Xenopus tropicalis: one gene and its partners. The protein of the gene in region 3 interacts with the protein of the main gene of each other region in a biochemical or structural test. Links are inferred from orthologs where the notes say so. Each region holds a gene or a part of one and is shown on either strand. Other genes may lie near its edges.

Region 1 (4,069 bases), on a different chromosome or scaffold from region 3:
CAATAAAAAGACTTGAAAGCTAATTGTTCAGCTACTGAGGGCAATTACCTGTGCCAAAAATAAAAGATCTTAAGGGTCAGAACATTGTGGCAGTATCTATCTGTTAAACATTAAAAATATTGTAGATATAAATTCTTGACCGCTTTCCATGAAAATAACTGAAGTCAGCAAACCACTGATTAAATTCAGATTTTTGGAAGAAGTATTTTAAAGCTGAGACCCACATGTATATATAACAATATTTCTCCACCGGGATTCTGTTATTAGTTTAGCTCACAACATAAAAAATCCACAAAAATGTAGAGAGGAAAATATTTAATATTTTGAAATCAATGCCACAAAAATAAGGGATTTCCATTAACACTCTAAAGAATGCCATTTTGCATGTAGAATCAACCACTTTGGCAAGTATTATAAAACCAGGATGCTCTTCAACAGAGCCCAAAACCAAGCTGAAATACTTTCCATTTAATGTATGCCAAAAACGAGTTTGTGTGGAGTATTTTTTCTGCCATTAAGATGATGTGAAACAGTGAAGGAACAGGGCGAGCCATACTCATTGTGACTGTATAAGGTTTGTCATCTTTTGCTGATGCTTTGGGGCTTATTTATGACAGCAGGACTATAAACAGAATGGCTTTTTGACAAGAATCAAGAAACATGGGCTACTTCCATCCTGACAACATGATTTTGTTGCACCTTAAACCTGCGTTATAGTTCTACCCTTTGATGCACTACAATATGCACCATGCATGCAAGGATGGGATGTGTATATGTCTATATTTATAACTATATGCTTTAATTTGCCATCCTTATGCAAAATGTTTATGTGGACACTGCAGAGCTGACTTTGTTGCAATAATGGACACAACTGGCACAACTATTTTCAACATTGTCAAACAATAAATAACCCCCTGTATGTTCACGGCAGACCTACTGAAAAGAGAGCTGCTTTTTCATAGATGTTGCACATACAAATTTAGAAGCAAATGTCTTAAATCCCCAATAAAGTAGATAATGTAGTTTGTATTATAGAACTGTGTAAGCAGATACTTGAATATGCCTCGAACGTTCTCTCTTACTATGCAGATTTCTGTACTGCAAATAATAGCAGATGGGCTGTGCCTTCCCATTCTTCCACCTGCATTTACTCAGAGCTTCACAGGCCACACCACAAACTCACCATGATGACATAAGAGCAGTGGGACTAGGTTTTTTTTTTCTCCTGCTCCTTTCTTTTTTCTGTTCTGTATTACAGTGATTCTGGCAGGCAGTTCCCTCCTGACACTGTTTACAGCACTTGAATCAGTCTCTTAATCTGTATAGGGAATTAAACAGGACAGCATCAAGGTAAGTGATATTACAGATCATTATAATATAATTATAATATTGAGACTGGGTTAAATATATGTTTCAGTTTTCTCTACCAGCTTTGAAATTATCACCAGTTAACAGAATAGTTGCATTGCTGCTATTTTATTATTGTTTTTATTACTGTGGTTTTAACCATTTTACAAATAAGTGAAATATGCAGTGGTCCTACGTTTCAGAATGTTTTTTTACTGTTTCCCAAATGTCTTCAATTCATTTTCCAAAAGCTGGAATAATATATTCTTCTTTTTCTTCTTAAGCAGTTTATAAGTGAATGCGTTAGTGTCGTTGGCTTTTTTAAAGCATATTTCGCTTGAACAGAAATCTTTCTTTTGGTTTTTGCTGTGCAGCAAAGCTTTTATTTAAAGATGAATGAATGGCTGCAATCCAAACTTAACTGCTATGACTTCAATTACTTTTACTGCTGAATATTTTCAGAAAAATCACTATGTGAATGTGAGGATAAAATGATGCAACTTATAATATATTTACATACAGTAAATATTCAGAGAAGCTTGCAACATCCCTAACTTGCTTAATAAGTAATAAAAATGATTTGAGCAATGTTAGTGCACTGTCATGTGAAAATAAGGAGATGCTGGTGTCGAATCACTCTGTGTAACTAAGGCACAAATCTCATTGTTTTGCACTTTTTTTGTTAACCTCTCCCCCCAGCACATGCACAAACATATCAAAACATATTAAAAATTAATACTAAAATAATTCAATTGCTAACAAAAATCTTTCCTTTGCCAAAAATATTTGTAAGTGATTTGTTTTTGCAGCAGGAAAATTAACATTACGTTACAGGCCAGAACCTATACTGCCCCTGCCCACAACATTTTTGTAATTAAGAAAATAAAATATATACATATATATTATTATTTTACACTTTCTGTGGCCATGAGATGGTCTGTATGAGATAGGCTATTAACTTAGTGTGGTGAATGTTAAAAAATTTACCATTTACCATTTATCAAACCTGTAGAAAGAAGAAATATTTTTTTATCAAATGCTGCATAATTAACTTGGTTAATTTAATTTGGTGTAAGAAGCTTAGAGATAATTTAAGGATTTAGTGAACAATGGGTTTTCATTTTCCCCTACTAATACCCATGTGTTCTTTAGTTAACACCTGTGGAATGGCTGTGCATAACTGCATGCCATCAATTTGTACTTCTTCCCCTCCCACAGAAGGTGGGACCAGAGTATTTATATTAATGGCATGCTCTTACCTGACTCAGCACTGCTTGGACATCTTGGGACCTATTTATTATGCTGTGGAAAACAAAATTCACCAAACAGTGTAAAAAGACGTGTAAAATAAATGGCAAATTTCTCCATCCAAATGCCAGATTTTGCACCACTATTTTACTTAAGTTCTGGTGGTGTTTTTTTACATAATGAAGCCTGGTGATGTGTGGTTTTACATAGCATAATAAATAGGCCCCTTACAGTATGGATTAACCTGTTTAAGAACAATTTCCATCAACACTTCTTACCTTAGCAGTTTTCTGTGTTTACTGCTACTAATATATGTGTTACATACTTATGTAAATTAGTCACTCAACACACACTTGTATGTAGGAAACCAAATCAAATAATAAATTAGAGAAAATTCTTATAATATGGATTCATGACATACTTGCCTAAACTTGTACTGTGTTTTTAGAATGAACCATAACCTAAGTTATAATGGTCAAATGTAAAAAAAAATAATAGGAATTGTGGAGGCTTTAAACATACATTGTGTAACAGATGCTACAGTTTGCAGTTATGACAAAATAAAATGTTGAGAGAAGAGATGCATGCATTGACTATGAATTGGCTCACAGGCTGGTTTATATTTATTTAAAATCAAAATTCAACCAGTAATTGCTATAAATCAGTTTCGACTCAAAACAATCAGTGTGCATGCAAGGTCACTACGTTTGTGAGTTACAGGATATAGAAGCTACAGATGGTAGAGAGCGTTTATTTACATGTATTTAGAACAACTTTATAAATGCTCAGTAAAGATTATGATGTTGCCATGTGAGTTAACAGTTCTTAGTTTATGTTGGTATATATTTTTATGATGTTTAAAGTTAGCAAAAATCACTTACTATACAATATAAACAAACACTGAAAAACACATATCAGTTTAAAAAATGCATATAGCAGAGCTGCCATTGCTTATTTGTCATTGAGTCTGGAAGGGGGTGTATGTCTTATGTTGATGCTGATCTGCACCTTGGAATGGTTGCACTGTTGAATCGTCCCCAAAACACAGCAAATGTCTAACTTACTTGAGTAAAATTATTTGCCAATTTAAATTATTGTTAAATTAAATACAAATCTAATTATTTGACATGGAAATAGAAACTTCTAAGGTAATATTTAAAGTAATCTTAAGTAAATATTTTAACTGTAATACGAGTCTCCACTGCATTCCTGGTACCCCTCTCTCCCCAACCCTATGGGGCCTGCTGTATGGTAGATTGTGAAATAGAATATAATACAGCTGTATGGTCTAATTTATGAGTTCCTATTACATTGTATTATTAATCTAAACAATTGCACCCTCCCACATTGATCTTAAGGAACAAGTGTTATTTAACTGGCACAAACAGCCATTGTGTTTTATTATTAAAACAGCATTGCCTTAGAACAGGGATCCCCAACCTTTTATACTCGTGAGCCACATTCAAATGAAAAA
Region 2 (4,088 bases), on a different chromosome or scaffold from region 3:
AACCAGGCAGTAGGTTGAATGAGAGACTTGAATATGAATAGGAAGATAAGTAATACAAAGTAAAAATAATAATAAAATAAGATCACAGAGCAAAGTTTTTTTTAAAGCTGGAAAGATGTAGCAGAGGAAGACAAATAATTCAAATACTATAACAAATGAACATTGAAGACCAATTGCAAAGTTGCTAGGAATAGGACATTCTATAACATACTAAGGTTAATTTATAGGTGAATCACCCCATTAAGCCATAAGCTGTAGACAAGGCTAGATAACAAGCCATTTAGGCCTTTTTATTTAGCCATCAAACTGTCTTTATTTGGGGACATCCTGCATAAGTTAACTCTCAAAGTCCTAGTCAATTATATTGGAAAATATTATCAATATTAAAAATCTGCTATCAGAACACAATGGTGGTCATCAACCAACTGAAACAACAGCATTTTTTTTTCTATAAAAATATATGGCACTGACCATACATCCTATGGTACAAAGGTTGTTTTTTTTTTATATAAAAATAGGATTCCTGCAATACAGTACAATAAGGTTTCTTTTGTTTTTTTTACTTTCTAGGCAAATGTAATGACAGTCACATGCGAACCCGGAAATTTACTCACTACACTCAAGTACAGCATTGTATACTCTCTAGTGATCCGGCCAGTGACTCAGTGGCCCCAGCAATATATAACAATTACCATACATCCTTCTTGTTGCTCTTTTTATATATTTAATATATATTACCGTAACCAGGAAATTCACTTATTACACTCATGTACAACCCTGTCTCAGAGTTAGACCCAGTCCAGAACCCAACATTTTAGGTACAAATATAGCTTTTTTGTTATGTTAGTATCCCTTTAAGCATTTATTTTTTTTTAAATAAAAGAAATTATAAAAATGGTACATCATGTGATGATCACATCCCTAAAATTGATACTAAAAAAGTGACATCTAGTGGTAAGAAACTGGTGATAGTCACAGAAAATCATGGAGACTTAAAAATATCATTTGCCTCACATCTGAGAAAAACGAATGGCCAATGCTACAGGGTAAAGATATGCAGATAAAATGTAATAAAAGTCAATTATAATAATTCTCTAATAATCAATACAAAGCAACACATTACCGAGGTCTTACAGGGTCCAGATTTTATCAAGCATAGCACAACTGATCTGCCAGATGTTGCTGAATTACAACATCCAGCAGATGGACTGATCTATTCTATAGTGGTCTAAAGTAAACCCAGGCTGCTCATAACACTGCAAACCACATATCATTCCTGAGCACTGTCAGGTCTAACAGTGCTGCTAGACCATGCGACCCACCATTCACAACAATCCCAACGAGTGTCCTTACTACAATTCTAGCATGAACGTTTTGTCAGAGGGGTGTAAGGATTGCATCACTTTTGGCTAAAACAACCAGACACCAGGAGCAATGATAATGTTCAGGCACAAATGCTCAAAACATAGATCTGTGCCTGGAAAGTACAAAGTTAGCAGCTAGGACAAAAGTCTTTCATTCATGGCTGTGAAGTTGAAGGTCTTTGACTTGGCCTGGGAGGCCAGTACAGGTATCGGACCCCTTATCCAGAAACCCATTATCCAGAAAGTTCCTAAATACAGAAAGGCCATCTCCCATAGACTTCATTTAAGTCAGAAAATTCACATTTTTAAAAATGATTCTCCTTTTCTCTGTAATAATAAAACAGTGCCTGTACTTGATCCTAACTAAGATATAATTACCCCTTATTGGGGGCAGAACAGCCCTATTGGGTTTATTTAATGGTTAAATGATTCCATTTTCTCTGTAATAATAAATCAGTACCTGTACTTGATCCCAACTAAGATATAATTACCCCTTATTGGGGGCAGAACAGCCCTATTGGGTTTATTTAATGGTTAAATGATTCCCTTTTCTCTGTAATAATAAAACAGTGCCTTGTACTTGATCCCAACTAAGATATAATCAATCCTTATTGGGGGCAGAACAGCCCTATTGGGTTTATTCAATATTTAAATGATTTTTAGCAGACTTATGGTATGGAGATCCAAATTACGGAAAGATCCCTTATCCGGAAAACCCCAGGTCCCAAGCATTTTGGATAACAGGTCCCATACCTTTACAACCACTTATATGGGTTACTTTTCAAGTGATGCCTTTTGATATATTTTACATGTTATAATGACTGTAAATCCTATTGGGTTTAATTACTGTTTAAATAATTTTTTTAATAGACTTAAGGTAGGAGATCTGAATTATGGAAAGACCCCTTATCCGGATAAACCCAGGTCCCGAGCATTCTGGATTATGGGTCCCATACCTGTATTACAGCTGATGGCTGGAACATTGCTGCCCATGTCTGTATTCTCTAATGTATCTAATATACCTCCCTGCTGCAGGGCTGGTCCAAAAATGGAACAACTATACAGAGATTCCAATGACACCACCTCAGAAGAGCACAGCAGTAGAGGCTATACTCACTGGGCCTGGTACCAACCTGACTGGCAACAGTGACTATTAACTAACACAGCTATAAACCAAACAACATATAACATGCAGCTTTGAACACATCAACATTTTCTTCCATGTTCCAAGGCCTTACCTATATCTGCGTTACAAAAGGCCTGTTGAGGGTGCACTGGTGAGCAACTGCAGGCTTCAGAAAGCTTCTGTGATGGCCACATAAGAACAAGCATAGCAACAGGGAGCAGCAGGCTGGAAACCGGAGCTGCCAGCATTTTCCAAGGCGTTTGCACAGCCAGCGTTGGTATCGGAATGTCAATGTGCTGCAAACCGCTAGCTTGGATTAGCTAATGTTCCAAAGTACGTCTCTTGTCTGAGCTTTGCTGTGTGTGCACCCAGACTCCTCCTCCTGGGCTGTCAGCCACAGGATACAGAGAGGGCTGGGGGAGATGCTAGGGATGTGTTTCCAAGAGACATCAGGGTCTTTAGAAACACGTGTCATATAGATGAGGGCTAATTTGTGCCACCCAAAAAAAAGCAAAGTAATTGACTTGTGTAGGCCCTGCCTCTGTGAAGGCCAAGAGTTGCTCTGCAGGAGGGAAAAGTTGAAATAACATGCTCTGGGTGAACACATTTACTGTGAGCGTGGCCCCACTCCCACCCCCTCCCTTCCTCAGACTGCAGAACAATAGGTGAAGGGGCTGAGGGCTGCCAGAGGAGGGAAAATTAAGAGTGGGCTTTGGGGGGGGGTGCGACATAATCCAAGGAAATGCAATTTAGCATCAGGCTAAACTTTGGATACAGGGCTCAGCAGTGCTGGCTAAACACTAAAGACTTTTCTTTATTTCCGTTAGGCTTCTTTGAGAACTCGTAGGAAAGTTCTAGTCTATGCCGATACTACTTACATTTCACAGTACTTTTACAGTGATATTACAAACAGGAAACCTGAATTGATAAATACCTATTGCATAAGGAAAGATTGTTAGAGGGCCTTGCTCAACTGAGCAGCAACTGAATCTTTTACTACACACAGAAAGGTATACATTATGTACAGTGTATCATTTTATGTTTGCTGTACAGGTATGGGATCCCTTATCCAAAAATCCATTATCCAGAAAGCTCTGAATTACAGGAAGGCCCTCTACCATAAAGTCTATTTTAAGAAAATCATTTTAGTTTTAAAAACGATTTCCCTTTTCTCTGCAATAATAAAACAGTACCTTGTCCTTCATGGTTACTAAGCTGCGTGAGTCCCTGTTGGTGGCAAAACAATCCTATTGTGTTTATTTAATGTCTAATGATTTTAAGCAGACTTATCTGGAAAATCCCCATGTTCCAAGCATTCTGGAAAATAGATTCTATACCTGTGTATCTAGGGATTTTTCAATGCAATTTTAAATGTAATATATCTCTAATATAGTATAATATAATGTATTAGTTTTTATATATTGAAAAAAATACATATATAGTAAATAATGGTTACTAAGCTGCATGAGTCTCTGTTGGTGGCAAAACAATCCTATTGTGTTTATTTAATGTCTAATGATTTTAAGCAGACTTATCTGGAAAATCCCCATGTCCCAAGCATTCTGGAAAATAGATTCTATACCTGTGTATCTAGGGAT
Region 3 (4,226 bases):
AAATGCCTTGTGTGCATTTACTAAAATGCGTTTTTTTCTGGCCTTGAAAGTCGATATGGTATAAATTTGAAGTAACCACGATCATTTCTGTAGTTCTAAAATGTCTCGACAATGCTTTTATAATTTCTACGAAAATTTTGCAATATTTTTCCAAAAGTCCCAAATTATTTGGGCCAAAAAGTTTGTAAACGCCACAAAAACATTTCTGGCTTTGAAGCCCTCCATCTCTGGCTTTTGAAGCCTTCCATAGGACTCAACAGATCAAACCTGGCGAAATTATAGTCCCGATGAAAGTGTAACCAAAGCGTTAACTTGCGAAATGTTTGTATTCTTTGCAAAAATATGATTTTTTTCTATGGAATTTACTGAAAACCACGAAAAACTTGTGGAATTTTACCAAAATTTTCGTGTACATCTCAAAATGTTCTATAATTTAGAAAAAATACGAATTTATCTCAAAATTGTTTATTAAATGTGCCCCTAAGTGTCAGTTTTGTTTCTCCTACTAAGTAAGCAGGCTATGTCAGCATTAAGTTGTACATGGCTGCTCTGGAAAGAAAATATAGTGTTTCATATAAGATAAGACCCACTGAAGCCAGGACTACATGGATGATTAAGTGGCCCAGTGTGTCTACATTTCATGTAGTGTGATTTGTAGTGGATACAACAATGTGAAAAGAGGTTCTTCAAGCAAACTGTTGTGAGCCAAATCACTTATATGTATATATCACTGATGATTTCCAGGAAGGCTGAATTCAACAGCTGCCCAAAAACAATGGCTTATCTAGCCAAACTGCTGCACTGGCCTCTGGGCGTCAATTCACACTGAGTATTCAGCATTTTTCCAGAAAACGCTGGATGAATGCTCACAGCAGTAGGCATGAACAAATGTCTCAGCTGACGCTTGTATGGTTGCAGCCATAGATGGCTATTGTTTACATTTTTAGCTTTATTTGTGTGAACATTAACAACTTTACAAAAGTTGTGTTTTCCCCAACCTTCTGGTACTGTTATGCCAGTGACCTATGTGTATTGCCTGCGATCATACAAAGACAAGCTGAGGGCAATCCCATTCACATCAGATACTAGATGTACAGAAATTAATTTAGTGCTCTTTACCATCCCCAAAGCAAATATTTGCTATAGTTATATTCCCAGAATTGTTGTAAACTCTCAGAAAGAAACCCAAAATGTGGTGCCCTCAAAGGAACCACTAAGTACATTTGTAAGTGCCAATCAGCATAACATGTTTTGAAGCCTATGGGCTTACAAGCCACATTCTCAGACTAAGCAATTTGTGACTTCTAGGACTTCCCAAGAAGCCAGTGGAAATGGAAGTGTTCATCTGCCCACACTAAGCAACAACATTATTACCCACACTGCAGTGTCAGCAGCACCATTCTAACATTTTGCCTCAGTGAAACAAGGTGGGTCAGTCTGGCATTCACTGCAGAGAGAGGAAATGGTGACAATGCAAAAACATGAATCAAAAATAATTTAATGATCCAAGATATTTCACTTAATATAAGCATAAAAAGTTACATTTGATAAAGGTAATATTTACCTGTAACTATATCAGTCTTATAAGTCACATTCAGAACTCTGATGAGACAGTCCTTACAAATCCATTTCTAAATAGTGCCTATGTGGAGAACTTTTTCCGAGCTATTAAATAATATAAGGTCTGTAGTGGGGAACAAAGCCCACCATTTCCAAAATCTATAATGAAAAGAGTGATTGACCCTGTTATTAAATTCATCTCCCCCGCTGCCTGGGACACTGAGCTGAAAGAAAAAGGTTTCTGTTGAAGTGGAGATCCTTGGAGTGGCCTCTCTCTCCCTTTTTCTCTCCTCCCTCAAACCTCTCCTCCCTCATTTTCCTCCTTCTGCGGATTACTCCTACAGTTATCTGCTAACTCAATTATTTTCCCCTTCTGTCACCCTTGTTGGGTCATTTTATATGTGATCAATATACCTGAATAAAGAGACAAATATGATTTTGTTTCTATAGATAAAAAGTGCCCACTGTCTCCTTCATATTCCTAATTTCAGGGAAAGACAACTGGTGGCTTTTATCTGTTACTGACCTAAAACTCCCAACACTGCATTGACAGTCAAATGGGATTCTATGTGTTTTATGCTTAATAGTATCTGGATTGTATTCCCTGCCCCACATAGTTAGTTTTCCCCTTCTATCTCAATTATTGGCTTTTCAGGACTTTTTCCCTTCTGTCTGATTCTTGTTCTCCATTTGTTCCTTCCAACTCTCCCTCACAATTGAATTCTTTCCAGATTTCATTTCCAGCCTCTAACTGGATTCATGTGTGACCTCAGATTCTGAGGGAGCCCACAGCAGCTTCTCCAGGAAAAAAAAGGGGGGGGTCTAGAAAAGTAAATACTGCGAAGACGGTTACAGAAAGTTACATTAGACAAATAGTACACTAAAAGATCCATTTATCAGTGGTACACTCACCTCTGGGCTGAATTTGGCGGAGCTAGAGCTGCATACAGAGCACAGAAAAAGGCAAATCCAGGCTGCTCTCACAGGCTCCATCCTGTGCGAGTAAAAACTCCTCTGAAGGGTGGTTGTCTGCAGAGCAAGAATAGGTTTCTTATCCACTAATCTCTGTTCAGTCCCCTTAACCCCCCTCACAGCTCAAACTATGTGTTAACTCTTTTTAAAGTGAGTCATTTATAAAGGTTATTCACAGTGCATGTTATATCAAGTTTTTTTTTTCCTTGTATCCTTGCTCTTACTGCCCCCACTACGCTGTTCCCCTCACTATCCTTCTCTCCCTCTTCGACTGCAGACGTGGTCTCTAGGTTTGGGCTGGAAATGGTAAGGCATTGATGTGCAGCTGTAGGCCACACCTACACTGTATACCCCCTCCCCACTCTCCCCGCCTCTCTTGGCCCATGGTGCACACAATAATAGTGCTTGCTAAAAGCAGGGATGTCCAAATGAAAACTCTCCAGCTGTTTAAATTTAACTCCCAGCATCCCAGCATTCTGCTGAAAGCTATAGTTTCACAACCACACAAGTCTGTGCCAATGTTTTACACGTGATAAATCCATTGAACACAACAAAATAAAATACGCATAACATTTTATATGCTCTCTATAATGTATAGTACAATAATACAATTGAAGTGGAGAAAAATGTTGCCGCTTTTGTTGACGATTGTCTTGCAACATACTTTTTTCTATTTTTATAAAGTGCTATATAAACCAAATGTTGCATTGCATGCAGCCCAAAGAATATCAGAATACTGCCCAGCAATTAGCTTAGAAACTATCACCATAGAATTCTCTTTTCTGTGTGCCTTTCAGTGGCCTTACTTCACTTTTATCCTCTGGGTTGAACTTTTACCACATGCAGGATAAAATGACCTGGCGCTGCCACTTCACCCCATTTACTCCTACAGTGGCAGCACCAGTGGCAGTGCCCATTTCACCCCTTATACCACGTAAGAAGTTCAGTGCTTTCTGAGGCACGTATGGTGAAGCAGAGGCAGCTAAGCAGCACTCAGATCTCCATGAGACTCTAAAAGAGTTAACTAACATAAAATAGGAATCTAAATGGGGTCACAGGAGGGCATGGTAAGGAGGGGGTCCCCAAACTGACACGCCTGGACTAAGTTTTGTGGCTAAAGGCTGAAAATGTGCTTTGTAGACAAAGGCGGTTATATGAAACCACTCTGATCAGCAGATCTGCTGTGGGTGGGGAGACACAAAAGGTGTGGACAGGCTTAGCAGATCCCTAAAATTTACAGGACAAGGGCCAGAACAGAAGAGAAAGAAAGCAATCTTGCTAATTGCTTTTGTTCCTTCAGTTATACCATTTTATTCTGTTGTACAATTTAACCCAATCACTGGCTCTAGTAACCTTACATATAAGTTGTTCTGCTACTCCTAGACCCCTGACCCCCAGCCAAAATAAAACACATAATAAATAAGGAATATAGAACGAATTAAATACAAATGACAATAGTTTATATGAAAACAGGGCTGAATTTCTAACTTCTTGCACAGTCCTCCAATTACAACATGGAAGCCAAAAGTGCCATTCCCTAACAGCACACGCTAGGCTGGAGTTCAGGGCTACAGGTTGGATATACCCAAAAAATGACCCCATACAATTCTCTCCCTTCCTGGACATCCCATAAAACAAACCCCAAGCCCTGGACTTGGCACTGTGCCTTGCCTTCCTACACATCCCCAGAATAA

What was found.
Region 1: the proteins of mmp14 (region 3) and lum interact in a biophysical measurement, tested with the Homo sapiens proteins (2 studies listed by BioGRID and IntAct, with this or other methods). The link is inferred for Xenopus tropicalis from reciprocal best matches to the Homo sapiens genes MMP14 and LUM.
Region 2: the proteins of mmp14 (region 3) and timp2 form a complex in vitro, tested with the Homo sapiens proteins (2 studies listed by BioGRID). The link is inferred for Xenopus tropicalis from reciprocal best matches to the Homo sapiens genes MMP14 and TIMP2.

What each region holds. Positions count from the first base shown.
Region 1 is NC_030679.2:55,472,078-55,476,146, reverse strand, and holds the start of lum (lumican precursor), read left to right. Parts: upstream 1-1,269; 5' UTR 1,270-1,350; intron 1,351-4,069.
Region 2 is NC_030686.2:22,380,979-22,385,066, forward strand, and holds the start of timp2 (metalloproteinase inhibitor 2 precursor), read right to left. Parts: upstream 2,801-4,088; 5' UTR 2,739-2,800; coding exon 2,603-2,738; intron 1-2,602. UniProt on the Homo sapiens protein: Complexes with metalloproteinases (such as collagenases) and irreversibly inactivates them by binding to their catalytic zinc cofactor. Known to act on MMP-1, MMP-2, MMP-3, MMP-7, MMP-8, MMP-9, MMP-10, MMP-13, MMP-14, MMP-15, MMP-16 and MMP-19.
Region 3 is NC_030677.2:140,076,232-140,080,457, reverse strand, and holds the start of mmp14 (matrix metalloproteinase-14 precursor), read right to left. Parts: upstream 2,801-4,226; 5' UTR 2,554-2,800; coding exon 2,473-2,553; intron 1-2,472.